Linked DNA regions of Drosophila melanogaster. The gene in region 3 interacts genetically with the main gene of each other region. Each region holds a gene or a part of one and is shown on either strand. Other genes may lie near its edges.

What was found.
Region 1: of rdgA (region 3) and Nmnat, changing one suppresses a phenotype caused by changing the other (phenotypic suppression), as found in Drosophila melanogaster (one study listed by BioGRID).
Region 2: of rdgA (region 3) and Pld, changing one suppresses a phenotype caused by changing the other (phenotypic suppression), as found in Drosophila melanogaster (one study listed by BioGRID).
Region 4: of rdgA (region 3) and inaD, changing one suppresses a phenotype caused by changing the other (phenotypic suppression), as found in Drosophila melanogaster (one study listed by BioGRID).

The regions. Positions count from the first base shown.
Region 1 is NT_033777.3:24,942,771-24,948,588, reverse strand, and holds Nmnat (nicotinamide mononucleotide adenylyltransferase), read right to left. Parts: upstream 3,353-5,818; 5' UTR 3,332-3,352; coding exon 3,136-3,331; intron 3,064-3,135; coding exon 2,657-3,063; intron 2,606-2,656; coding exon 2,504-2,605; intron 2,446-2,503; coding exon 2,294-2,445; intron 2,114-2,293; coding exon of another isoform or gene 2,077-2,113; exon of another isoform or gene 1,756-2,076; intron 1,706-1,755; coding exon 1,435-1,705; intron 1,327-1,434; coding exon 1,285-1,326; 3' UTR 1,189-1,284; downstream 1-1,188. Other genes in the region: mah (mahogany), read right to left, coding at 1-70, 126-235, 311-957; ssh (slingshot), read left to right, coding at 4,940-4,999, 5,068-5,313, 5,379-5,770. UniProt on the Drosophila melanogaster protein: Catalyzes the formation of NAD(+) from nicotinamide mononucleotide (NMN) and ATP. Essential for viability.
Region 2 is NT_033778.4:6,243,262-6,249,460, reverse strand, and holds the start of Pld (phospholipase D), read right to left. Parts: upstream 3,950-6,199; 5' UTR 3,884-3,949; intron 3,198-3,883; 5' UTR 3,028-3,197; coding exon 2,877-3,027; intron 50-2,876; coding exon 1-49.
Region 3 is NC_004354.4:8,923,228-8,929,149, reverse strand, and holds the start of rdgA (retinal degeneration A), read right to left. Parts: upstream 3,967-5,922; 5' UTR 3,454-3,966; intron 1-3,453. Other genes in the region: CG43255 (uncharacterized protein), read right to left, coding at 4,776-5,183; CG12661 (uncharacterized protein), read left to right, coding at 5,532-5,922. UniProt on the Drosophila melanogaster protein: Required for the maintenance of phospholipid turnover within the photoreceptor.
Region 4 is NT_033778.4:22,854,528-22,861,409, forward strand, and holds inaD (inactivation no afterpotential D), read right to left. Parts: upstream 4,268-6,882; 5' UTR 4,072-4,267; coding exon 4,035-4,071; intron 3,685-4,034; coding exon 3,074-3,684; intron 3,020-3,073; coding exon 2,929-3,019; intron 2,867-2,928; coding exon 2,511-2,866; intron 2,447-2,510; coding exon 2,222-2,446; intron 2,163-2,221; coding exon 2,051-2,162; intron 1,994-2,050; coding exon 1,854-1,993; intron 1,794-1,853; coding exon 1,497-1,793; intron 1,427-1,496; coding exon 1,235-1,426; 3' UTR 1,161-1,234; downstream 1-1,160. Other genes in the region: RpL23 (ribosomal protein L23), read left to right, coding at 1-2, 120-331, 918-1,115. UniProt on the Drosophila melanogaster protein: Involved in the negative feedback regulation of the light-activated signaling cascade in photoreceptors through a calcium-mediated process.

The DNA.
Region 1 (5,818 bases), on a different chromosome or scaffold from region 3:
ACGGGGTGGATGTCAAACTGGAAGGCCAATATGCTGTAGCTGTTGAGCACGGTAAGGAAACCGGGCAGCTCTAAGAAAAACCAATTTAGAATATTTTAAGCATATGCCCTAAGACCAATACCCACCCAAAGAGATTCCCTCAAAGGGTGTTCCAATTGCAGGAGCTGCAAAAAGGCAGAACCACAACAGCGCCACAATAACGATCATCACGCAAACTGCGATGATAGCCAAGCCCCTGGGATAATTATAAAATAGGATAATGCAGTGCATTGATAGAAAGCAAATAATCCTATCCTGAAATTTATCTTACCGCATGTGCTTTGGACTTCCCAGCCACATGAGCGGGCAGATGACCAGGCCGACTATGATGGCCCAGTAGCAGTAAGAGAAATTGTACTGACCAGCGCTCATGCGCAGCACGACGCCCTCTAGATTCTGGGCAGCCATGACCACGCTGGGCACCGCCATGGCGAAAATGCTTAGATCGAGCAGCACGGACACCAGCAGACTCATATAGGGACCGTAAGCCAGCTCTGCTAGTGCGGCATACGGATAGTTGCGCTTCTGTTGAATTGAAGGATCAAGCAGTTCCGCCATGGTCCAGCATTGGGAGAGCAGGAAGGAGGTATAGATCTGCAGGATGATGATAGAAAGCACCAACAGGATGCCAAAGTATCCAAGTTTCACCAGCAATGCCGGCAGCGTGACAAATGGGAAGATGCCAAACAAATCCACCACGTACAGGATGGCGATGAAAAGCGAAAGGTTCTCCGGTTCGTCCTCGTAGGCGCGGAAATGGGGAAGGGCGCTGAACCGCGATCTTCGCAGGAAGGGCAACTGGTCGTGCTGATGCGAGGGCGTTAGCTGGACAGGAGGCCGACGCTTTGGAAGCGCAAAGGACGGAGCGCGCGAAGGGCGTGGCGCGGGTTTAGCATTCTGGCGACGGAAGAAGAACATTCGCGATGTGGACTCTTCCAAGGGAAGCAAGCAACTGCAGTCCCTCTAAGCTTAAACTAATGGTGGCCACTCTCGCCTGCAACTGGCATATTACCATCAACAAGTTCTGACATCAGACACCAAAGCGAAGCCCTGCAACGACTGCAATGTCAATGCACGTCGCCTGAAGTTCAATGCCTTGTCCCTCCACTCCGTGAAGTGACCCACAAAAGCATGGGCAGCCGTCAACTTGGTAACGAACGTGTTTATTTTGCATATTTATATAATATCAACAAATAGCTTCCAGCGCCCCTGTCTTAATCCGCGTGAGATTCGTCTTCCAGTTTCCTAAAGTTGCACTTGGGAAATCTTCTGCTTCTTTGCTTGGCTCTGAAAGAGGGGAATTGATTAGAAGGATCTAAACATAAGTTTGAAAGCAAAACTCTGGATTCCATCTATGTATGAAATGCAATGGATACAGCGGTTAAGGATACCCACCTCCTCTTTCTCATCTGCCTGCATGGTGATGACCTGCACCGCTTGTCCAGGACCGGATCGCAGCACCTTGGATCCACGTAAAGGCACCTCCCCGCAGCAGAAAACCCGCGACGTAGGCGTATGCTGCAGTTGCGGGCTTGGAGTGTCCGACTCGTCCATGTCCTGCTCCAGCTGGTCGCCTATAGAGTAGCTGTTCGCGTTCTTGTTGTTGTCCGTATAGGCGTGGTTAAAGAGCAAATGGTTGGGACGCACCGCATCCGTTATATACTTACTACATTCCATGGGTTAGGCGGGCATGGTCAGTACAATAGCAACAAAGTTAAGGTTATTGTTTAATGGGACTACATTTTGGCAACAATTCGGTGTAAGTAGATGATACGCACACTGACCACCGCAAAACTATGGCTAATTTAACAAGGGTATTTACAAGGGCTAAGATTGGGCAAAAATAAACATGCATTAAAGGAATCACTGCTAAATAGGAACTTGAACTCGGATCTGCTCTGCTCACTCACGCTCCATGAAGAGGCGCCACGGCTCAAACAGCTTATGGTGCTGGTGGGGCAAGTGGTGCGATTTGCGGTGCTGGTGGGTTGGAAAGCGTGTGGGCGACGAGGGCTTCTTTTTCACGTGCAAAGCGCGTCAAGAGTCGCATTCGGTCGGAGCCGGTGCATCCCGCCTGCAGTTTAAGACATAAAAGGAAACAATACAAAGACTGCTGGTGGTGCACGTTAAGTGTGTTCTCTGCTGTGTGAAATGGATTAAGGTGGCGCCTCATTCAGTGTACGTATCGTTTGAAAGATGGGTAATTGTAAGTGAACATGCAGGATTAAGGGGAGGTAACAGGAAGACCACCTACGATTTAAAGTTAAACAATCGTTGGCGCTTGATGTACTCCAGCACCAGATCGTCTAGAAGGTACTTGACCGACTGGCCGCGTCCTAAGAGCCGCCGAATCAACGTGGAGCTCACCTCATTAGGCACCCAGTTGGTGATTAGCGTAATGTTGCTCTGAAATGTGAATGGAAATGAATAAGAAATAATGTTGTCGAGGTACTGTCTCTCTAACCTGATACTTGGTCAATATGTCGGAGTCAAAGATGAATTTTCCTGGGTTTGAGCCGGCCCGGGTGATAACTACCAAACCATGGTTAGCCACAATGTCCTCAATCTGGGAACAATCATATAAAAAAAGGTACTATTCAAATATATCAAGACTTACATCGGCCTCTGCCCATAGGCCTGGAACAGCAAAGGACTCCAGCAGATCGGCACCGCACAGTAGCTTCAGATGTACAGGATCCCGACTGTCGTGCAACCCACGAGGCAGCCATCCGGGTAGATGTGTGTTCTCCCCGTCATCTCCGCCTCCCCCGCCGGAATTTATGTGGTTATTGATATAGTTCTGGTGGTGCTGGAGCACCGCCTGCGTGCGCATCCACTGATTCTGGTGCACCTCCCAATCGGACAACCGAATCCAATTGGAGCTCTGGGTGGCCAGCTTGACCATGGCACATCTGTCCAAGGCGGAGGCCAGACCCTTTTTGCCATATGAGTCGTGCGTGGGCGAGATGATGCCACCTACCACTCTGTGGGTTCCCTGCATTTCGAAGTGGTCCTTGGCTATCTCTGTTGACAAAAACATGCCGCGTAATTTTATCGATTATGTACCGCAGAATTTCACAATCTAGTTTAACTCACCGAACATCCGAAGGTGCATGGGTGTGGGTGGACTGAAGCATCCGCAGGCTATGAAGGCGATCCGCGGCAGCAGGCTTTTTGTTTCCTCGATGAATGCTGACATTTTCTTCGATTTTGAGCGTCTTTTAAAAGATCCAAACCGCCGGAAGCATTCGCTTGTTATGTTGTTCTTGGGCCAGCTGATTTTCACAATCATCTGTTCGGCTTGTTGTTATTTTCCAACACTAAACAGCTGTGCAGTGGCTACCACCTCTGACTACCTTTGACTTGTTATTCGATAAATGATAACTTAATGTAACTTAATTTTTTGATTTTTAATCATCAAAAAGGCAAGAGTACATAAAAATGTATTAAAGCCTGTTTTACTGATATATCAAGAAGTATACAAACATCACTGCGTTTCTCATTAATAAGTACTTTTTTCGGTGTACCACACGAACATTGCTTTCGCTTGCGATAGTTAGCCAGCCCTGCCAGAACGATTGCCTGACGATACTAGTGTTATCGATTAGAAATGGCGTCCTCACTGTCTTTCTTTTAAGAAAAATTCGTGTAGTCTATTTACCATTTAGCAGCGTTGTGTGTGTCCGTTAATTGTAAGGACACGCTGTTTCTTAGAGAGAACCGCCTGGCTAGAGTGTCCGGAAAGCGGAAACCAAGACGATCGCAGGACGAGGTCGCGGAGCCGACTGCAAAAACAACGGCCAGCAGGCAGCGATATGAAAATGCATTTGTAGCCTTAGCCCACAACACTTGCACACACACCACACACTCTCGCGCACACTCACACACAGGGAAAAGGAGGTGGAGCAGAAGGAGCCGAAGCAGGAGAGGATTGCAAGGGACACCGCTGCAGCATCGCCATCATCTGCGCCAGGTGGAACACGAGGGTCAAGAGGCGTCGGCGGGGGAGGAGGAGCAGGAGGTGGAGGAGCGGCTGCGGCGACGACGACGACGTCCACGACCACGGCAACAACAAATGGCGCTGGTGACGGTGCAGCGCTCTCCCAGTGTGGCGGGCTCCTGCTCGAATTCGGTGAGAGGAGACTTGATGGTTTTCGCGTGTGCGTATGCGTGTGTGCTTTGTTTTGGTCACCCCCACTCTGCCAGGAGAGCCAATTACGGGCAGGCTCTTTAGTGCGTGTTCCGCTTTTGGCCATGATCCTTTGTGTGCTCGGATGTGCTTTTCATGCCCAATGTTTATCATCCGCCAGCTTGTTGCTTACGCTTTTTGGATTTCGACGTTCAACGTTCGCGTGTGGGCGGTATGAGGCAGCGTCATCATCGTCATCGGCTGTGCTGCGCTGCGCTGCTTTTGGTGTAACCCAAGCAAATCCGCAGACGTCGCGACGTCTATATTTTTCAACAGACTTTTGCATTGCCTTATTTGTCGTTTTTGTCGCTTTCCGCTTACCGCTTGTTTTTGTTTTCTTCGCCGCCCCACCGCCCAAAAATAGTTCGCGAGACCTTGACGTCCGCCTGCACAGAGGGAAAAATTAATATCGGGGGTTGATCAATTTAATTTTACAAAACGTTTTAATTCAGATATGCTCAATATGTCAAATCGGTATTTTTGAACACATAAATTAACATTTTATTATTTCTAAGAAATCAGAAAATATAAAAAAAAAAAAAATACTTCACTAAACCGGAATCTTTTTCGAACTTGTGACCCTTTTCTCAAAATCAGACGGTATTCAGTTGAACAATCAGATTTCTTGGAACTGCAGATACAGCTTTGCTTCTTTTCCGCCCTTGAAGTGTAGACTATAATCAGGAGTTTATCTTACCCCTTTGCAAAATAATGAGCATGCAAGTTTGTTCTTTGCCAGACGACATCCTTATATTTAGCCTAACCCCACGGGTGAGGTGCAGCAGGATAAGGTATTCTTAAACACCGAGTAAACAACTTTCCTTTCTCTATAACATCAGGATGGCGAGTCCGAGGACGACGAGGGCAATAGCAAAGGAAACGATCGCAGCGAGTGCTTCTTTGCCGGCAAGGGAACCGCCCTGGTACTGGCTCTTAAGGATATCCCGCCCCTGACGCAAAGCGAGCGTCGCCTGAGCACCGACTCCACCCGCTCCAGTAACAGTACGCAAAGCAACAACTCGGACATCCAGCTCCACCTGCAATCAATGTTTTACCTGTTGCAGCGCGAGGACACGCTAAAGATGGTGCGTATCCAATGTAAAATTACTTTGTCTATCTTTTAAACATATCTTTCTATTCCTATCAAAAGGCTGTCAAGTTGGAGTCACAGCGGTCCAACCGCACGCGCTATCTGGTGATTGCATCGCGTAGTTGTTGTCGGAGCGGCACCAGCGACCGTCGGCGCCACCGGATCATGCGTCACCACTCGGTAAAAGTTGGTGGATCCGCGGGAACAAAGTCGTCCACCTCCCCGGCGGTCCCCACGCAGCGTCAGCTGTCCGTTGAGCAGACCGCCACAGAGGCCAGCAGCAAATGTGATAAAACAGCAGACAAGGAAAACGCAACGGCGGCCGGCGACAACAAGAATACCTCGGGCATGGAGGAGTCCTGCCTGCTGGGCATAGACTGCAACGAGCGGACCACCATTGGCCTGGTGGTGCCCATCCTGGCGGACACCACAATTCACCTGGATGGCGATGGGTAAGACTGGGCATTCATCTCGTAAGAGTCATGCACTCATAACTGCCT
Region 2 (6,199 bases), on a different chromosome or scaffold from region 3:
TAGCCGCCATAGTGCGCCGGCCGGTAAACATCGTCAGTGGGGTGTTCAACTGCAAGATGACAGATAAAAGGAATGGGCGTAAGGAAGACAATAAATTTTAACAGATTTAACCTTAAACTAGAAGTATTGGTGAGTCCCATGACGATCACAATTATATTTCAAACCCATGATACTTGCGGCATGTGTTATTTGTGTAAAATCAAAAAGAGTTGCAAATGTAAAGTTCCCTCTGTGATTTTACCTAACATAAAATAGATTAAATGGCTAGGTGACCTTTAGTTGTCAGTTTCCCAGCCATGCTAAGTACATGTGTAAGTTCTATTTCATGTTGGGTAAGATTGGCACAACATTTAAAAATACTGGTAAACATAAATTAAAAACATTTTTTATATAACTTGAAGTATATATTTTTCTAGTCTAATAATAAAATTTAAATTGTTTGATGTTCGAAAAGCCATGAATGTAAATATAACATTTTTGAGATATGTCCCCCGGCTGAACGGCCTGTGTTGTAACCATTAAATGGTAATAATTAGCAAGTGCTATCTACATTCGAAACAGAAGCTCGCTCAAGGTCAGAGCTCACGACATGTGGTGTAGTTAAGTTTAATGCATTATGGTCGGCTGAACTTGACATAGGAACCCTGCTCGAACCTTGAAAACATTTAAAGCTAAATACACACGACGCACCTCCTTCGCCCGTAAGTATAGCATTTTCCTTAGCTCAGTGCTACTGGCTGAGAACGCAAATCAGAGGAGAATATTAGGTATCGTACGCATCTTTTGGAGATACAGTTTTGCCATATACCTGTCCTAATCTCTACTGTTCTGTTTTCCCAAAATACTTGAGCAATCAGCTTCTAGCTGATTGACATTTAGATAGCAAGCCCAAATAAAACGGCACAACAAATAGATTAGGCCATACTGCACAGTAGGTAGGCCAACCAATGACGGTTAAGTGAGTTTATGGATGCGGCACGGCTTTGCAAAAGTGCACAGGTTCAGTTATCGACGATAGTAATAAACAGAATAAATCAGTACTTAGTCAAGTGCTTTGATTAGCAGACAATAACAGGTGTCCTGTCCTATTCGCCTATTCACAGAGTAACTTTATTTCTGTCCGCTGAGTACCGCGTATAGAAATATTTAAAATTCAAAAATCGAAAATGGTTTTTTAAAAAAAAAAGGTAGCGACACCTGAAAATTTTTGTTAAGATACTGTTTCAGAAGTTGTTGGTTTAATTTATCAAACAATTGAACGAGTCATAACTTACGATTGCTCCTTATCACTTGTGATAATTAAAATAAACTGGAACGCCGAGTGCAAAGAATTTGATAATGGCCGTCAATGATCAATGACATTGGGGCACTTCCATGATACCCTATCATAATAAGTGCCATCAAAGTTTTATTACCACACTTTTACATACACAGGCTAGCTTATGGGCAAGTTCAACTGGCAGGCATAAATTCTTGGTATTGAATTCGTTATTATATGGGTAGTGAAAATAACGAGTGTTGGCATATGCCTTATCACGAAGCTCTTTTTGCTATCAGCTTCAAGTCACCAAACAAAAACTTCTGGAGGCAAAAACAAAAACTTCTTTAATGCTCGAGTTCCATGATTTGTGATAAAAGTGAAAAAATAAAAAAATTTAAGTCCATCAAAAATGTATTTGATTAGACGAATCGTTAAAGAGAATTGTGGATATAATTAAACCTTGGACCTATTATTCAATCATCGGCCGCCGTTTTCAGAAATTTAAGGCGGTATAATAAGTGTAACACCGTACTCAATAAAAGAACCATAATTTCTTAACACCTTTTCACTTTCAAAGCGATTTGCCGAACTCATTAGTTTTGGCTCATTGGTTTTGGCAAGCAAATTAACTTAAAAAAAACTTGACACTTTTATCACTAACAGATAAGACGAATAGAAGTAACCCCATTTTGTTTCAAGAATATACAATTTTTCGTTGAAAAAACTAAACTCCAACCACAATAATACGTTTTTATGGTGGCGAATAAAGCTGTGGTATCCCATTCCTATTGATAGGGCATTGGTGTGAAAAAAAACTAGTTCTAAATTGCCGAATTAAATGTTACTTAAACATTTTTGATTTAACTGAAAAATTCTGTTATATGCATTGTATTTTTTTTTGCAGGAATGTTAATGCTTTCCATTTAATGCCCGTTATCAAAATGTCCTCAGACCGAGGGCGTTCATTTTGAATCGCCTTTGTTTAGCGGGTTTTGTCAGTGGCCGGTCTACTGAAAAGGTTATTAAACCCACCGATCGCTTGCTTCACCTGACCTACACACAATTGCAAAGAAATCGAAACTTCCTGTTGCAATGATCGAGCATGAGTACAAATGTAAATCAGGCTCGATATATTTTTAACAATATCGGCATGTATCGTTACTTGCAGCGCGTCATGCATTTTAAAATTGATTATGATTCATTTACTAATTGCACCGTTAGGCCGAGCCCAACACGCAATTTGATGGAAGCAATAAGTGGGTAAAGGCTTATATAATCCAAAGGAAACGGGTATTGTTCGGCTAATTTATTATTTAGGCAATGAAATCGTTATCAGTTCTTGGTTCCCTACACTACTACACTTATTTAAGTTCGACTGCACACTCATTGTTATAAATCGCCCCAAATTGAAACAATGAAAACTTGGTGCAGAATGATTTTTCACTTTCGCATACCATAACACCTACCGCCAACCAGTTCTAAATGTTGAAATATCTTAGCAAACATGATCACTCTTATCTCATCTCACGATGACGCACATATTTCATTGCCGCTCTACGAGAACCAAGTAATCTATGCAAATGAAAATATCTTTATCTTCAGATCTAAAAATTACCCATGCTGGCCATCAGCTGTGAGATGCTGCGGCGATGACGTCGGACCTGCAAATGTGGCAAGTTGGCGTTCGATGACGCCTGCCGGGGCAGTTGCAGTTGCTGGGCCTCATGGTTCTTGCTGGTTTTGGTATCCAAGCACGTGGCCATCATTGTTGTGTGCGCTTTACGCGGGCTATTTAATGGGCTCTATTTTATTTTTGGCAATCGGTTTTTGGCTTTATAGATAGGAAGCTTTTGTTGTCGGCTCCAGTTTTTTGCATTTCTCAGTCGCATCGACAGTTCGCCTACGTGAAAAATGTCCGTTCTGCGGCCTGCGGAGGCTGTTTAAACCACAAATTATAAATACCGCGTTTGTGTATAATGGACTTATTGCCGTGGAGGTAAGTAGAGGAAGGAAGGATACTTTGCGCCACGAAAATAATCATTTAAATTAATTTTGCCTTCCAAGTTTCATTCAGTCACAGCGTGTATACTTTTCTTTTTTTATATCCCTTGCATTGAAAAATAATTAATTAAATTTTTATCATGGCATATCGTTATCTTTGCGTGAACACAAAACCAAGTTTTGCAAATATAACTGAATGTTTCGCGTGCTCTTTATATTCGTTGGTATTTGGCTTTTGGCGCTTCCAGCTCATTAAAGGTTTGCACAATGGCCAACTAACACACGCACAAATTTTTTGTTTTTCTGCTTTCGCATATTTTACTTTTTTCACTCGGCTACATGGCTTCGCGAGATGGTGCTTTATAACTTGTATCTTTGCATCTCACAGATGCTTATCAAGTTATCAAGTTGGAGTGCGTCTGAAAGATTGTCACGTTTGCATGCGATATGCAGCACTTTGTTTACTTTTCGAGCCACCGACTAACGGAAGTTGCAGAACCGAAAAAAGCGCGACGTCGCATTGAATTCGTCAAAGAGAGTAATGCCACGCTATGTGAAAAAAACCAAACTGAAGACACCTCACACTCACACTTTGAGCCCCCGGCAAAAAGCTCGCCTTACCGCCACGATCTGCGATCCACGAGAAACGTTGCGACAACTTGGCCGTCACTCCGGTTAATAATATTAACTAAACCTCGCGACGCAGCCAAAAGCTTAGGTCGCCGAGCTCAAAACGGTTAACGGGTAACGGTTACGGCGAGAGCGTCAATGCCGCAAGTTGGTAATGGAGAGGGAGTTTTCCAGAGCACAGCTGCGAACTTCAAAACAGCTGGCAAAGCTTTTCATAATCTCCAAGATATTGAAATGCGATAGCCCGAAAACCCTTCGACTGTTCTAAGGTATTATGCAAATAAAAACATAATGGGCTTCTACGGCAAGGTCAGCCACAATCCATAAGAACAAGTTCTCTGCCGAGGCATTGGCACAAACTCTACAAGCTTTCCAAAGCTTTCTGCGCGGTTCACACACCTTTTAAAAATCGCTGATCGAGTACAGGCCTATTGTCGGACCCGCAACAATGGTCGAGGAGTCGATGAGTCACAACGGCACTTTGGGTGTGCATGTAGCTCTGCTTAGTATCTATTGCGGCTATCTTATCGGCAACACTAGACTTGGGCACAATCGCTGTAATCAGAACTCATTATTTGTACGACCCCAATGAAGTGCGCAGGATAAATAACCGAATTACAATTAGCATTCGATTAGATTGTCCCACGCGGGGCAACTGAATTTCAATAACTTAAATTATTGACCCCTAGTTCGGAACTAAGTAAAAATAAAATCAAAAGTATGTTTTAGAGACTATGTCCAAGTTAGTGACTCGGTAAAAACATTTGACGATCGCATCATGCCAAATACCATACCAAACTTTAGTGACGAAAAATTATTTTCGGACATTTAATAAAAATCCCCTTTCATCCCAAAAAAAACATGAGCCTATCGAACAATAACTTTATTCTAAATATTTTCAAATTATAGTTAGCTGTTGAGAAATGAGACTAAGCTTTCGAAGGGATAGTGCTCCGGTAGCGGTTTGGATAAGGTAGTTGACTCGTTCGATATTATTTAAACAATTCAGAAATTAGTACATTGTTATCTTCCATAAATCTAATCTAAGAAATATACTGTCCTAATATAAGTTTTCCTTCTGTCACTCAAAGAAATTTTTAAGTAATTAAGTTTTGGTGCTGACTTCTATTTGGTCATTGAATTTCGTATTGGGTCTGCTAACTTTGAAGTAGTGATAGCTTTTATTACTAGTGTAGTGAATTCTTTGTAAACTTGTTATTTAGTATATAATATAATATATTATAATAGTTGCCCAAGACGAAAAAAGAACCTGTTTGTCACTTCCAAAATATAACAGATAGAAAGTTGCCAAGCCCCCCTAATGCCTATAGCCGCCTAAAACTTGCACATCCTTGCACTTTTAAAAAATGTTTTCAAATTTTTTTTTATATTTTTATTACACTTGTAAATTTTTATCGATTTACCAAAAAACTTTTTGCCACGCCCATACTTTCAAATTTGTTTAAATATTTTCTCAATCAATTCACCATTTCCACTAACTGAGTAACGGGTATCTGACTGTCAGAACATAAGTCGAATATAGCATTTTTGTTGTACCCGTTACTCGTAGAGTAAAAGGGTATACTAGATTCGTTAAAAAGTATGTAACAGACAAAACGTTTTCGACCATATAAAGTATATTATTTATTTATTATTATAAAGTATATATATTCTTGATCAGAACCAATAGCCGAGTTGATCTGGCCATGTCAGTCTGTCCGTATGAACACCACCATCTCAGGAACCATTATAGCTAGAGAGTTGAGATTAGATAAAACGATTCTAGAGGCACGCCCACAACCGCCCAAAACTGACACACCTTTTGAAAATGTTTTAATATTTTTTTTTTTGATCGTTGTGGGAAACCACATTCTAATTCTTTAGGTCTATGCGTTGCCTATTAGATTTTACTAATATCACTATTAGCTTGGTCACACTTGTGAAATATACATAAATAGTGATAAGATAAGAAATGTGCTTCTATAATCCGCTCCTGTCATTAAAGACAGAGTATTGGTTTAGAGGTTCATATTCCAAGAAATTAAAATCAGGGCCAAAAATGGTTTGCAGTGTGTCGACGTTACATTGGGTGTGGCTACGTTTGGAAATAAGCATACGTGTGGAAAGTCTTTAGGATCTGTATGCTGAATCCTTTATAGGTACAGAGATCCCGAAGTTCAAATGGATATACGAACGGACATAATCGACTCAATTAATAATCTTGATCAAGAATTTATATACTTTCCTTGGTCGAAAAGACTTTGTTTTACATGTTGGATACTTTTAAAAGAATCTAGTATACCCTTT
Region 3 (5,922 bases):
AAATAAATTATTTCGTTTGCCCACCCTTTAAAATTTGTTTTTTTCGTTTGCCCACTCTTAAAACTAAATAATTTCGATTGCCCACCTTTTAAAACTAAATAATTTCGTTTGCCCATCCTTTAAAATTCATTTTTAACGTTTGCCCACCCTTTAAAAATAAATTATTTCGTTTGCCCACCCTTTAAAATTTGTTTTTTTCGTTTGCCCACTCTTAAAACTAAATAATTTCGATTGCCCACCTTTTAAAACTAAATAATTTCGTTTGCCCATCCTTTAAAATTCATTTTTAACGTTTGCCCACCCTTTAAAAATAAATTATTTCGTTTGCCCATCCTTTAAAATTCATTTTTAACGTTTGCCCACCCTTTAAAATTTGTTTTTTTCGTTTGCCCACCTCTTAAAAATGGTTTTTTCGATTTTTCACCTATTAAAAATAAATTTGTACATATGTATGTAATAATTGTAAGATGTGGCGTCAAAAGCACAGTTACTTACAAAAGAACAGTTATTTACATATTTACATACATTTTCAATATATCCATAGTGTTAATCATTCATGAATTGTAACATCAATTTTTCTTAATCATTGTTTCATTTCATGGAAAATATTTTATTCCAGAATTTTCTTGAGCTTGGAGGGTGTTGATAAACATACATACATTTTTTTGCATATATATTATATTGCAATATAAAATATTTTCCATGAAATGAAACAATGATTAAGAAAAATTGATGTTACAATTCATGAATGATTAACACTATGGATATATTGAAAATGTATGTAAATATGTAAATAACTGTTCTTTTGTAAGTAACTGTGCTTTTGACGCCACATCTTACAATTATTACATACATATGTACAAATTTATTTTTAATAGGTGAAAAATCGAAAAAACCATTTTTAAGAGGTGGGCAAACGAAAAAAACAAATTTTAAAGGGTGGGCAAACGAAATTATTTAGTTTTAAAAGGTGGGCAATCGAAATTATTTAGTTTTAAATGGTGGGCAAACGTTTTTTATTGGAAATTTTTATTTTAAAGAGGTGGGCTAAGGAAATTGGTTGTATTTTAAATGTGGGCAATCGAAAAAAAATTTTTGTTAAAGGTTTTTTAAAGGGTGGGCAAACGATAAAAACTAATAATAATGGTTGGGCAAACGTTTTTTGTTGATAATATTTGGTTTTAAGAGATGGGCAAACGATTTACTCTCTGATTAGACCGAGGTAAACTTAAAAGCCTTATATTTTCTAAAGTATAAATTTTTTCAAAATTCTAAAGGGTGGGCAAACGTGGGCAAACGATGTTATTGCGATTTAAAAAAAAAAATTTTGAAAAAAGCGAAATTTTTGATTTTCGAAAATTTTCGAACTTTTTCGAAAATTCATATCTCAAAAACTGGACGTGGGCAAAAAAACTAATTGGTGGGCAAACATGGGCAAAAAATGGGCAAACGATTCCAGCTTTCAAATTTCAAAAATTCGATTTTTCCGACCCCAGCTTCTTTGAGCTACCTAAACTGCCACACACAACAATGATTGATTGTGGAAATTTTTGTGGGGGTAAAAAATGGTGAATAAATTACCACACTGGTTGGTAATTGGTTTGGTTTGCAATGCAATTCCATTCGATATTGAAATTCCCAAAAATTGTTCAAATGGCAATTTCTATTAATTAACACGGTGCTTTTGGCAAAGGAAACACCCTTACAAATGGATATACAATCTGCAATCAAAATGCGATGCATACGTGTTTCCCCCTCGTTGCTGTCAAATAGCCCGCGGTATCTTTCGACCATTTTCATTCTCTTTTCTGTTTTTTTTTTTTTCTTCTTTTTTTTGTATTTTGTTTTCAATTTTTATGTGTATTTTTATTGGATTTTATATGCGAACCCAACCCCTGGGTCACGAATAAAAAAAAAGCGACAAGAAATGAAAATTGAATATTTTATGTGAAGCGAAGCAAACAAGAGCAAACAAAAAATTGTGGATCAACAATTGAAACATCGCGTTTTTATATGTACGCAAGACAAATGGGTAGCAATTTCTTTATTTCAGAAACAAACAAAGTCGCCTAAAACAAAAATCTTTAAACCATTTCAAAGCGCACACATTTATTATTACAAATATGTGCAGGCTTCATTCATGTTTATACTTTGGTGATTTAAAATGTAAATTCTTCGTATTGATTAAAAAAAAAATATATAAATTTAAAGTTTCCTTAGAGAAATTTAAATTGTATATTTACACTTGGTTACCGCGACGAAGTGCCTTCGTCGTTGAATGCAAACTTGAGGACAACAAACGAGCGGAAGCACAAACACAAATGCCACGTATACGCCACGTTGTCTGACATTTTCCCCTGTTACCGGGGAAATGCGAAATCAAAGATTGCCAACCGCACAGAGTGCCGCCTTTCGCCATTACGTTATTTTCGCCATTTCGCGCTCTTATGTCAGAGAAAAGCCGGTCACGCGCCAATACAAGAGCTGCAACATCCTCCAGCATGCAGTTCCTTAAACGCACCGATTAGCAAAAGGACACGTACACGAAGGATGCGTGTGCGGATGTCGTTGCGGATGCCAGTGCGGATGCGAATGTGGCAACAAGTTCGGCTAACGAGACTGGCTGGCCGACAAGAGCACACCCAAATCCTTAACCGGAGTGGCCTAAAAAAAACCTAAACCGCTCGCTTTGGCCAGCAATTTTCAATGAATGGCATCGTTTAATACAATTGCCCACACGGCGTATGCGTAACGAGTTTGTTTCGCCGTGTTTTTGCCGAATTTCGAACCGAAATTGCAGACGATTTTTCATTAAATCATCTTATTGACACACAGACATTCGAAAGTAGGGGGATACTCTGAGACAATGAGAATGTTGGTAATTGAATTTATACAGAATGAAAAGCAAAGGGCATTCCACGGAATTTTATTCAAAATTACACATTGTTGCACACATATTTGTGGAGCCTAAAAAGAGCTCGAGCTTTAAATAATTTTTAAAAAATTACTGCTTTAAACTAAGATATATTAATATATTCAAGCAATTCGAGTCAACTATTTTACATCTGTGGAATTTTGAAACTCTTTGTAAACTATAAAATCCGATTATATTTTATGATATTCCAAAAAAACTCATCAAATTCAACACAACAAGCTGAGAACCGAATTCTTGATAATTTCCATGCGTGATTCTATTAACTGAAGCATACAATACAATATTCTGTGGAGCTTTTCCTAAAACTACGAATATTTGCCAAAAATTGTAGCTGAAACTTTAAATAAATCTGGGAATCCCCATTTGAAGACTAAATATAAAAACATTTCCGAAAAATCACAATACAAACACGCTGCTCACAATCACACACGGCAAATAAACTCTCACATCACGAAATTAATCAACAAATTTTCCAAGGAAATTTTTCAATGAATTTCAATAAGTATATTCATATTTACCGTTTCGGTTTGCCGCTTTAGTTTTTCTTTACAATGGAACGCACTTTTCAGTCGTTCGAATCAAGTCAAAATTTCGTGCACATTTTTGCGTGCTTTTACACGTTAACAGTTAGGATTCAAAAAGCACAAAAACTAGATCTTAGTCTTACATAGTTTTAAGTTTTAAGTTTGTATCGTAGCTTATATTTCAAGTATTGAATAAATACTTTGGAATATCTTTGAATATTTTCGAATATTTGTACAAGTTAATATTGGTTTAGCACAACACTTAGAAGCACAATCAAAAAAATAGTTACTTTATATTTAGATATTGTAAGTTTTTCAGTATGTTTATGTTTTTCTTATGGTATGCGATGTTTTTGTTGTGTTTTGGGCGATGTTGGTGTTTTTTTTTAAGAACTTGGTAGTTCCAGAGAGTTTTGGTATTTTGCTTTGAAATGTTTGGCCTGCTTGGGCTGTTCTGCTATTTAAATGAGTTATTTATTTCTAGAACAACGCGCCTCGTCGACCGTTCAAATGAAACTGATGCGAAGGCGACGCATTGCCAGGAATATAAAGCGACCGGGAGCGAGAGGGCGCTATTGAGCATAAGCGCGGGAGCGAGCGAGAGGCCAGCAATCGGCCGGCAACTTCGGCTGTGGTCGGCAAAAGCCGAAGTACTATAAACACCTGTAAGCAGCCTTCGATGCCGGCGAGAGAGCGAGAGGGAGAGAGGGAGGGAGGGAGAGAGAGAGAGCGAGAGCGAGCAAGCGAGCGAGTGGCCGTATCGTTCTCACTCCCTCACCCTTTGCCGCCCAACGCCCACATACTCCCGCTCGCCCCGTCTCTGTCTCACACCCTCTCTCGCTCTCGCTCTCTCTCTTTCGCGCTCGCATTCGGAAGCGGAAGGAAACTCAACAGTTGGCACATTATTGAGTGGAGAGAGGAGCGGAGAAAGTAGAGCGGAGAAATGGCGAGAACTGCGGAGAAAGTGCGGGCGGCAGCGCTACTCTTTGTTTTTGTTGTCGCTGTTTGTTGCCATCAAATTTATGGCAATCATTTGTGCGGTGTTTTAAGTTGGTCCAACACAAGTGCCCAAACTATCGATAATTATCGAGAGAGAGAGAGAGAGAGAGAGAGTGATGGCGTGTGAGGGCGATGGAGGAAGTAAGGGATTAGAATAATCCAAACGATTATCGTAATGATATTGTTAGCTATTAGCAATCAGATTGTTTGCAATATCTAAAACAATTTAAATAAACGATTTTATGGCATTAATTATCGGTATAATCGGCAATATTGTTATCGATCAATATCATTCCTAACAACAGGAAGAAAGCTGCTTATATTTTTTTGAAAAATATTAAATCGAAGAAATCTTCAAGGAAATCATTGGTCTCATGTTCGGTGTCGACCTCGTCGAGTAACTTCTTCAATCTTCGTAATAGATCCTTGTCCTTTTCGAGAGTATCCAACAGTTGTTCAGCATCGCTTTTTAATAAGCCCAATTTACGTAGTAAACGTATCACACGCCTTTCAAATGGCGTAAAGGACTGACGTTTGAATCGGTTGTATCTCTGCGGCAGCTTCAAGGATATCTTGTGTTGTACAAATTCCACAGAATTCTCTTTATGTTTAGTAGTCGTTAGCTGCTCCTTAGATATCCCGTAGAATTCCTTATCACGACGTTCAAGGCTTAATCCAAAAGCGGCCAAAAAGACCAAGAGCCCAAAGATATGCAAGTAATGCATTTTTAAAAACTATGCACGGCCACGTTGTCCAACTTCTACTTATATACACTTTCAGTAGTGCACTTATCAGCAAAAAACAAATTAACTCAAACTCAATTAGAGATAGCTTCACACTGAGTTATGTCAATGCCGTGACTTTAGTTTAAAAATTTGCCCAAGAAGAGTCAAGAACATGACCTAACTTACTTAACACTGCGAGTCGCCCATTTCCTGCTCATATATTATTTAAATTGAAGAAATTATTACAAAACCAAAGTAGCATTGCGTTTTGCGTAACTCAAATAAGGGCAGTCAAACGAAAATTACCAACCGACTTTTATATTTTCCATAAATTTTATACTACTCGAGATGGATTGTGACAATTCGAGTTTGGAGGAGAAGCGAGAACGCGTTGACAATGCAATCCTAACCGCCATGGAGGATCTGGATCGGGATTATCTGCGCAAATTGCAGATCGAGATGCACAGATGTGCGACCGCCTGTTGTGCGGATGCGGACGCGAATGCGGAGGCGGTGGAGCGGTGCATCGATCGCTGCCAAATCCGTTTGACCCGATCACGCTGCTTCGTACAGCAGGGTATATCCGATTTTGAGAATCGCCTAGAGAAGTGCATCCAGCAGTGCCGCCTCAATGGATCCGATTATAGCTTGGAACGTTGCACCAGCAACTGCGTGGATAGCCATGTGGGATTGTTGCCCGAAATGTTTAGGGCTATGCGAGATACCCTGGAGAAAGGTG
Region 4 (6,882 bases), on a different chromosome or scaffold from region 3:
AGGTAAAAATCCGAACGAACCGCGCCGCTAAGCGTGCGAAATGTGACGCGCCGGATGTGGAGAGTGTCGAAGTTGTGGTGTGCAAAACTAATAACCCTCTGTTTTTCGGTCTCATCCAGGACGTGGAGGTACCGCGGGAGGCAAGTTCCGCATCTCCCTCGGTTTGCCCGTGGGCGCCGTGATGAACTGTGCCGACAACACCGGAGCCAAGAACCTGTACGTGATCGCCGTCCACGGAATCCGCGGTCGCCTTAACCGTCTGCCCGCCGCTGGTGTCGGCGACATGTTCGTGGCCACCGTGAAGAAGGGAAAGCCCGAGCTCAGGAAGAAGGTGAGTGTGGTGCCCAGTGCTCCGGCTGAATCGGTCATGTGCTAAAAGTGCCCATGGGCTAGCAACCCGCCCAGTGAACACGTTTTTCCACTTTGTTTGTGTGCGTTTTCTTGAATGAAATTCAACTTGTTTCTGTTTCAAAGAAGCCAATTTGAAATTAGTTAGCTCTTATTACATTGGGTTGCTTAAGGTTAATAATCGTATTTTGTGCTACACTATTTGTCATTTGTTTTGAACGGGCAGTTTTAATTTCTATCAATTGCAGAGTATTTCATTGTAAAGTAATACGATAATATAGATAGATTTGTATTAGACGTGGAAGGTTTCTCCTTACGCTTCCAATAAATTTTCCCCACATGTTTTGTGCCGGCTAAGATAGCTTATCGCACCAAACTCACGTTTTTAATATTTTTGTTTATTGATAAGAATTTAAAATTGTAGTGAAGAAGGTTTATAAAACGGTTTCACTGCACTTCTCATAATTCCCCCACCTATAACAACGCACTTTTGCATAACTAACCGATGCAGCAGGAGGTTTGCACACTGCCGAGCAACTTTGCTAACTACTATTTTCATTTGTTTCCAGGTCATGCCTGCCGTGGTTATTCGGCAGCGCAAACCGTTCAGGAGGAGGGACGGGGTGTTTATATACTTTGAGGACAATGCCGGGGTAATAGTAAACAACAAGGGCGAAATGAAGGGCTCGGCCATCACTGGACCGGTGGCCAAGGAATGCGCCGATCTGTGGCCCCGTATTGCATCCAATGCAAGCTCTATAGCCTAAGGAGTTTCCTTTTCAATAAACCCACAACGGAAAACAGATTGTTTTGAATTCGAATTGTTGGTTCTTTTATTGAATTGCTGCACTGCTTCGCTACCGGAGGAGGAGAATGAGGATCGTCTCTAGGCCTTGGGTGCCTCCGTACGTAGAGTGGGCTTGGGTCGTGTCACTTCCATCGATACCTTGCCGTTGGCTCCCTTGAACAAGGCGTAGCACACCTGGAACGGAAGACCCTCCAAGGCATCGCCATTGAATTTGGTGATAATATCGCCGCGCTGCAGTTTGCTGTCTATCTCCGGGTATTGTCCTTGAATCTGTCGAGAAAGTAGTTACTTAGGGTTGAGCCTTCCTACCACTGTATACCAGTGGTGTATGTGCACTCACCAAGTCCGCGATGGTACATCCAATTTCGTTGGGAGAAAGCGACAGGCCCAGCTCCTTGCCTGCTTTTTTCATAAGGTCAACGTTAAACTTTTCCAGCTCCGGAGGATCAGCGCGGAAGACCGTTAGGGTGACCGCTTTCTCGTATGTGGTGTGGAATAACTGATGGACCTTCAGTGTCGTCATGGATCCCACGTGGATTGGCGTACCATTTATATCGCAAATGTGGTCAAAGATCTTGAGGCGCTTGTCGGCTGCCACTTGTCCCTCCGGATAAACGTGGGTGATTACACAGCCAGTCTGTCAGGGAAAAGTTGTTTAAGGTACTTCTTGCAGAAACAGAAAGTTCAGATAGCCCACCGTGACATGGTTGTTCTTGCCGCCGCAGACGATGACGCCCATTGGCTTCTTTTCCACCTTCAACTCAATGAGTATCTTTTTGTTCGGCTTGATCTCGGCTGTGGCGGGTTCCTGTGGCTTTTCCTCCTCTTTCTTGGCCTCTGTGAGTTATCGGGATGAAGATGTCAGTTTTGAACTTGCTTGGACGCAATACCTACCCTCCTTCTTTTTCTCTTCCGCCGCCTTCTCAGCCTTTATCGCCTCCTCGCTCTTGAGAGTCAATAGAATCATGGTCACTACGCCCTCGGCACGTTTAAGCAGTCCAGTAGCCTGAAGTGGATATGAAATGGTTTTAAACTAAGTGGTTGGAGGGCTTCCTGACGACTCACATCATCGTAGTTGGATTCCAGTGTTACATCCTGATTAACGGCCAGCAGCATGTCGCCCACTTTCACGCCCGCCAACTCGGCATTCGATCCCTCTCTCAGATCCGAGATGAAAATGCCACTTCCCACCTCAGCGTGCTTGCCATAGATGACCATGATGCCCAGGAAACCCTCCTTGCGCACCTGCACCGTGCGCGCCTTGGGAAACTGGTCGAAGATAAACTTAGTCTGGAATAGAAGGGAAGGACATTTTATCGCAGGATCCATCCGAAAAGAAGTGAAAAGTACGGACCTCATCAGACGCGGTGGGGAACTTCTTGATGGGCTTGACGCACATGCCCTCATCGTTGGGCTTGCGTCGCGAGGTGATCATCACGAGCTTATCCCCATCCACGTTCTTGAACACGGCGGAAGCGTTCAAGTGGCAGCGATTCTTCAGCACATTGCCGTTGACCTCGACGATCTCGTCGCCCGGTTTGATGTCCACGCTACCCAATGCTCCGTTGGGATCCACACCGGCAACAAAGCAGGCCATCTTCTGGCGGTCCTTGTGGCCAGCGAGTGCGAGTCCCAGTGGCTTGCTGGCGTCCCTCTGGACCTCGATCCTGCGCAGATCCTTCATCATGTTGTACCGCTTGTTGATCTTAGCTGGGAATGGCATTCACGTGCTGTGTGACTGACATTTTTTAATGGCTTCAATTGAGTCTTACCCATCGTGTAGCCAAATTCATCTTCCTGCTCCTTGTCGCGATCCTTTTCCTGCTTGTTGAGTTTGCAATTACCGGCGGATGCTCGATCGATCTAAGGTACTTATAAGTTAGTAGAGCGATGGGTGGCGACCTTGGGTTAACCCACCTCATAACCCGCCTCCGTGCGAATGCGACCGGTCATGTCCCGGGTGTCCTCGTCATCCTCGTCGGCGTAGTTACTATGCTTCTGACGCATCGAGGCCGTGAATGTGGTATTCCGCTTCTGCATCGATTGCTGCCGGTTCATGCCAGCCATTCCCTGACCCTGACCCTGACCTTGCCCCATTCCCTGACCTCCGGACGCATTGTTGTTGGTGGTCTGCTCCTGGTTGAACTTGTTCTTGGCCTGCATGTAGCCATTGCTCCGCGGATCTGACTTGGCCTGCTGCTCATCGCTCTTGTCGAAGGTCTGAATCTCCAGTTCGATCTTGAAGTCCGCCTCCTTGATGAGATCGATGACCGCCTGTTCGGTGGAGTTGCGCACATCCTTTCCGTTGAGCGAGAGGATCCGATCGCCAACCTTTAGGCGACCACACAGATGCGCGGGACTGTCGGGCACAATGCCCTTGATGAAGATGCCGGTGGTCTTGGTGTTGGGCGAATCCTTCACCTCGCCGCGCACTATGCAGATGCCGAAGGACTTCTTGCCCGTCTTGTCCAGGGTCACCATGTGAATGAGCTCTGGGAAAGGATTGTGCATTCCAAATGAAATAAAAACTATTTACAACGTATTGTTAAAGTACGACTAAGACAAATGTGAAGCTATTACTAATAAATATTTATTGGGGTCCTTATCCCACTTGGTATCCTTTCGCAAAATAATTTTCACCAATATTGTATAATCGTTTATATAAATGTTAAGGTTAAGTTCATTACATAAACATATTTCTCACAGGATTCTTAAGAATCAATAAAGTCAATTGAATTGGCTTTTGTTCAAATTTTGTTTTATTTGATTCATAAAACACAAAACGAGTATTGAGTGACCTTTGGAAGGTCAAGTTCTTTCGGGACTAGCTGCAAATTTGATTAGCAGTTGGTCATGAAACCACTCAATGGACACTGACCACCCGCGGTGCCCTGTTTGCCCAGGAACTGAACCATCCTCGCTGCTTGAGATCGACTGCTCCGTAATCCTAGCCAAAAACTCGCGACTCACTGACCGGACATTAAGCGCACCGAATTAAGCTCAAATGTAATATCGAATATTTATTGTTATGGGTTTTCACTTAATTATTATTTGTGAATATTCCGCGTTGGCTGCGCCCGATTTGAGTCCATTGAAAAGTGCGCCTAAACTGATTTTACAATTAGCGGGCGAACATTCTTGCTAACTGACTTAGTGGCCATTCTATTTTGAGTATGATTTTCGTATCGATTACACTGGTCAGCAGGGTTGATCTTAGAGTACCAGATGCATGTAGTTCATACATATATGCTAAGACACTTTCACAAACTTTCCTTCTAAAGAATGCTTGAGTAAAAGAAAAATTCTACTAATAATAATGAAAATGTTTCGTATCTTGAGATTACCCATTAAAATATTACCTTGCAGTACAGTGCTATCGATTCGGAGGAGGTGCCTCCAATGAATTGAGTAACTTTCACTGTCTGTTATGACACCACTCACAAAACACCCAGCTCCCCGAAGACGGCCATTATATGGGTTACCATCGCGGATGTGAAGGCTAGGGGAAAATGGATACCCATGTACCTTTATTGGCCCTATCAAGTTATTAATTTGTTGGTACGATTTGGCCCGTGCTGAACTCAACACTCCGCCAGGAGAAGCCCACCAAGTGTTGACCAGCAATGCCCATCGATTTTATATTTTTCTTTCATTGCACTTACAACTGAATAACATATGTCTCACACACTTTTACCTGGGCGAGAGCTTCTATATCGGCACTGCAAATAACAACAATTTGTGGGGGACATTTTTAAAACATATAATATCCTTAATAAAAAAACAATAATAAAATGCGCACAAAATACCGAAGAATAAAGAGTAAATAAATATAAAATGTAAGGTGACAATGATATGATATTGAATATGAACTGTATATATTCAGTATCAATAATATAGCCCCAAAAAGTAGGCAACAATTTCAATGCGAATTGGTAAGGATTGCTGGGGAACTTCTGAACCAGACACAAGCGGTAATCAAATAAAACTTTCAAGATTTTTATCTTTCGAGTGGCAAATAAATTTAATTTGTCTGCCGAGCTTAAATTCATAATCAAGATTTGCATTTTAATGCCTTTGTCGGGGGGAAAGGCGGTATGAAAAAAGGAAACTGGAGGCAGGGAAGGGAGAATATGACTATGCAAACATTTCCCGAACATTGCCCGAACGGAATGAAACGAAAGTGGAATGGCTAAGGCAGCTCCAAAGGAAAACTAGAGTAAACACATGCTCAAAGGAGCTGGGCGCAAAATGGGGTTTAAACTGGAAAATGGCGAACCCAACGGAGAGTGGGAGTGAGAGCGATGGGAGTGGAACGTCAACGACTGCGAAACGATGCTGGAAATTAATTTCATAATAAAAAAGCGTAAGGAAACCCATTTGATAAAACAATTTCCTTTTTGCCTCCCAACAGTCATGTTTTGTTAGTAAAGTAAATTCAAAAGAGAGCACAGCGAAAATATGGCAATGAGCTTAACGCTGCCGCCCCCTTTTCCACCTCTTCCCCCAGCCCCGCCCCGCTCTCTCCTCGTCCCTTGCAGCCTCTGCCGCTGCCGACGTCGCTGTTCGCAAGACCTCGCCCTCCGATTGGCTCTCTGGCCGCAGGCCACGCCCCTGCAATGGCTGCTTTGTGCCGTGTCCTTTTCGGCTGTTCCGCTCTCTGTTTCTCTCTCTCCTTCTCTCTCTCTCTCTCTCTGTCCGCTCCTGCAGAAGTCGTGCTGCTGCGGCGCAGTCGGCGCATGGTTGTTGCGGGGATTTAGTTAACTGAAGTGATTTTCCACTGTTGGCTGTCACACAGGCAAACACACTCACACACATACACCCACTCGTCCTTATGTAAGTGGCCACACGTGTCTGTGTGTGTGTGTGTGTGTGTGTGTGTGCAGGCGAATCCGTTGTTGACTTGTTCTCGTGTTGTACTTACATGCAGTTATATCAAATTGCTAATAATCGTTTAGCAGGCACTTCAGACTGCGTCCTGGAAATGAATAAAAATTACAGTTTTCTGCGCCAAAACACTTGAGGCAACGATTCGGATTTGGAATAATATGGAAATTGCACAGGACCTGGGGAGCTGGGTAATAAGGAAAGCCACAAAACCACAACTGAAAATGGATTACCGGACTGAGCGGGGAAAATTCTCGTATGACTCAGAACGGAACTGTTGGTAACATATATGTATAACAAACCATCTCCTAATGGTTTCATTTACAAAAGTGTTTATTAAATTTAATATTTGGCTGTCTTTTTGTATCCATAGGTTAAGGCAGATATACTTTATACTCAAATCTGTTCAATAATCATTAAAATGGCCATAAAGGCCATCGAAAAGCTTAATATAATTTTCAACAAATTTTATAAAATTATTAGTAATTGTAATTTACAATTTTGATATGTTTGTAACAGAGAACAAAATTTGTAACTTGTTGAGTAAAGGGTAAATAATATTCCTTGAAAAGTATGTAACGGCTATAACAAAGCGTTTCGGATTCTATTAAGTATATATATTCTTCCGTAGAACCTCTAGCCGATTTAATTTAGCCATATCCGTCCGTTTGTCTGTCTGTCCGTCGAGGTTTCGTCCATATCCGACGCATTTTCACTAGCTGAGCTAAGCGTATAACTGATAGGCGATAGAGTTCTCTCTTCTTTTACCCTTGTATAAGAACTATAGATAATGGAAATACCTATAGATATCGGGACTTTATTCCAACATATATAGTTACTAT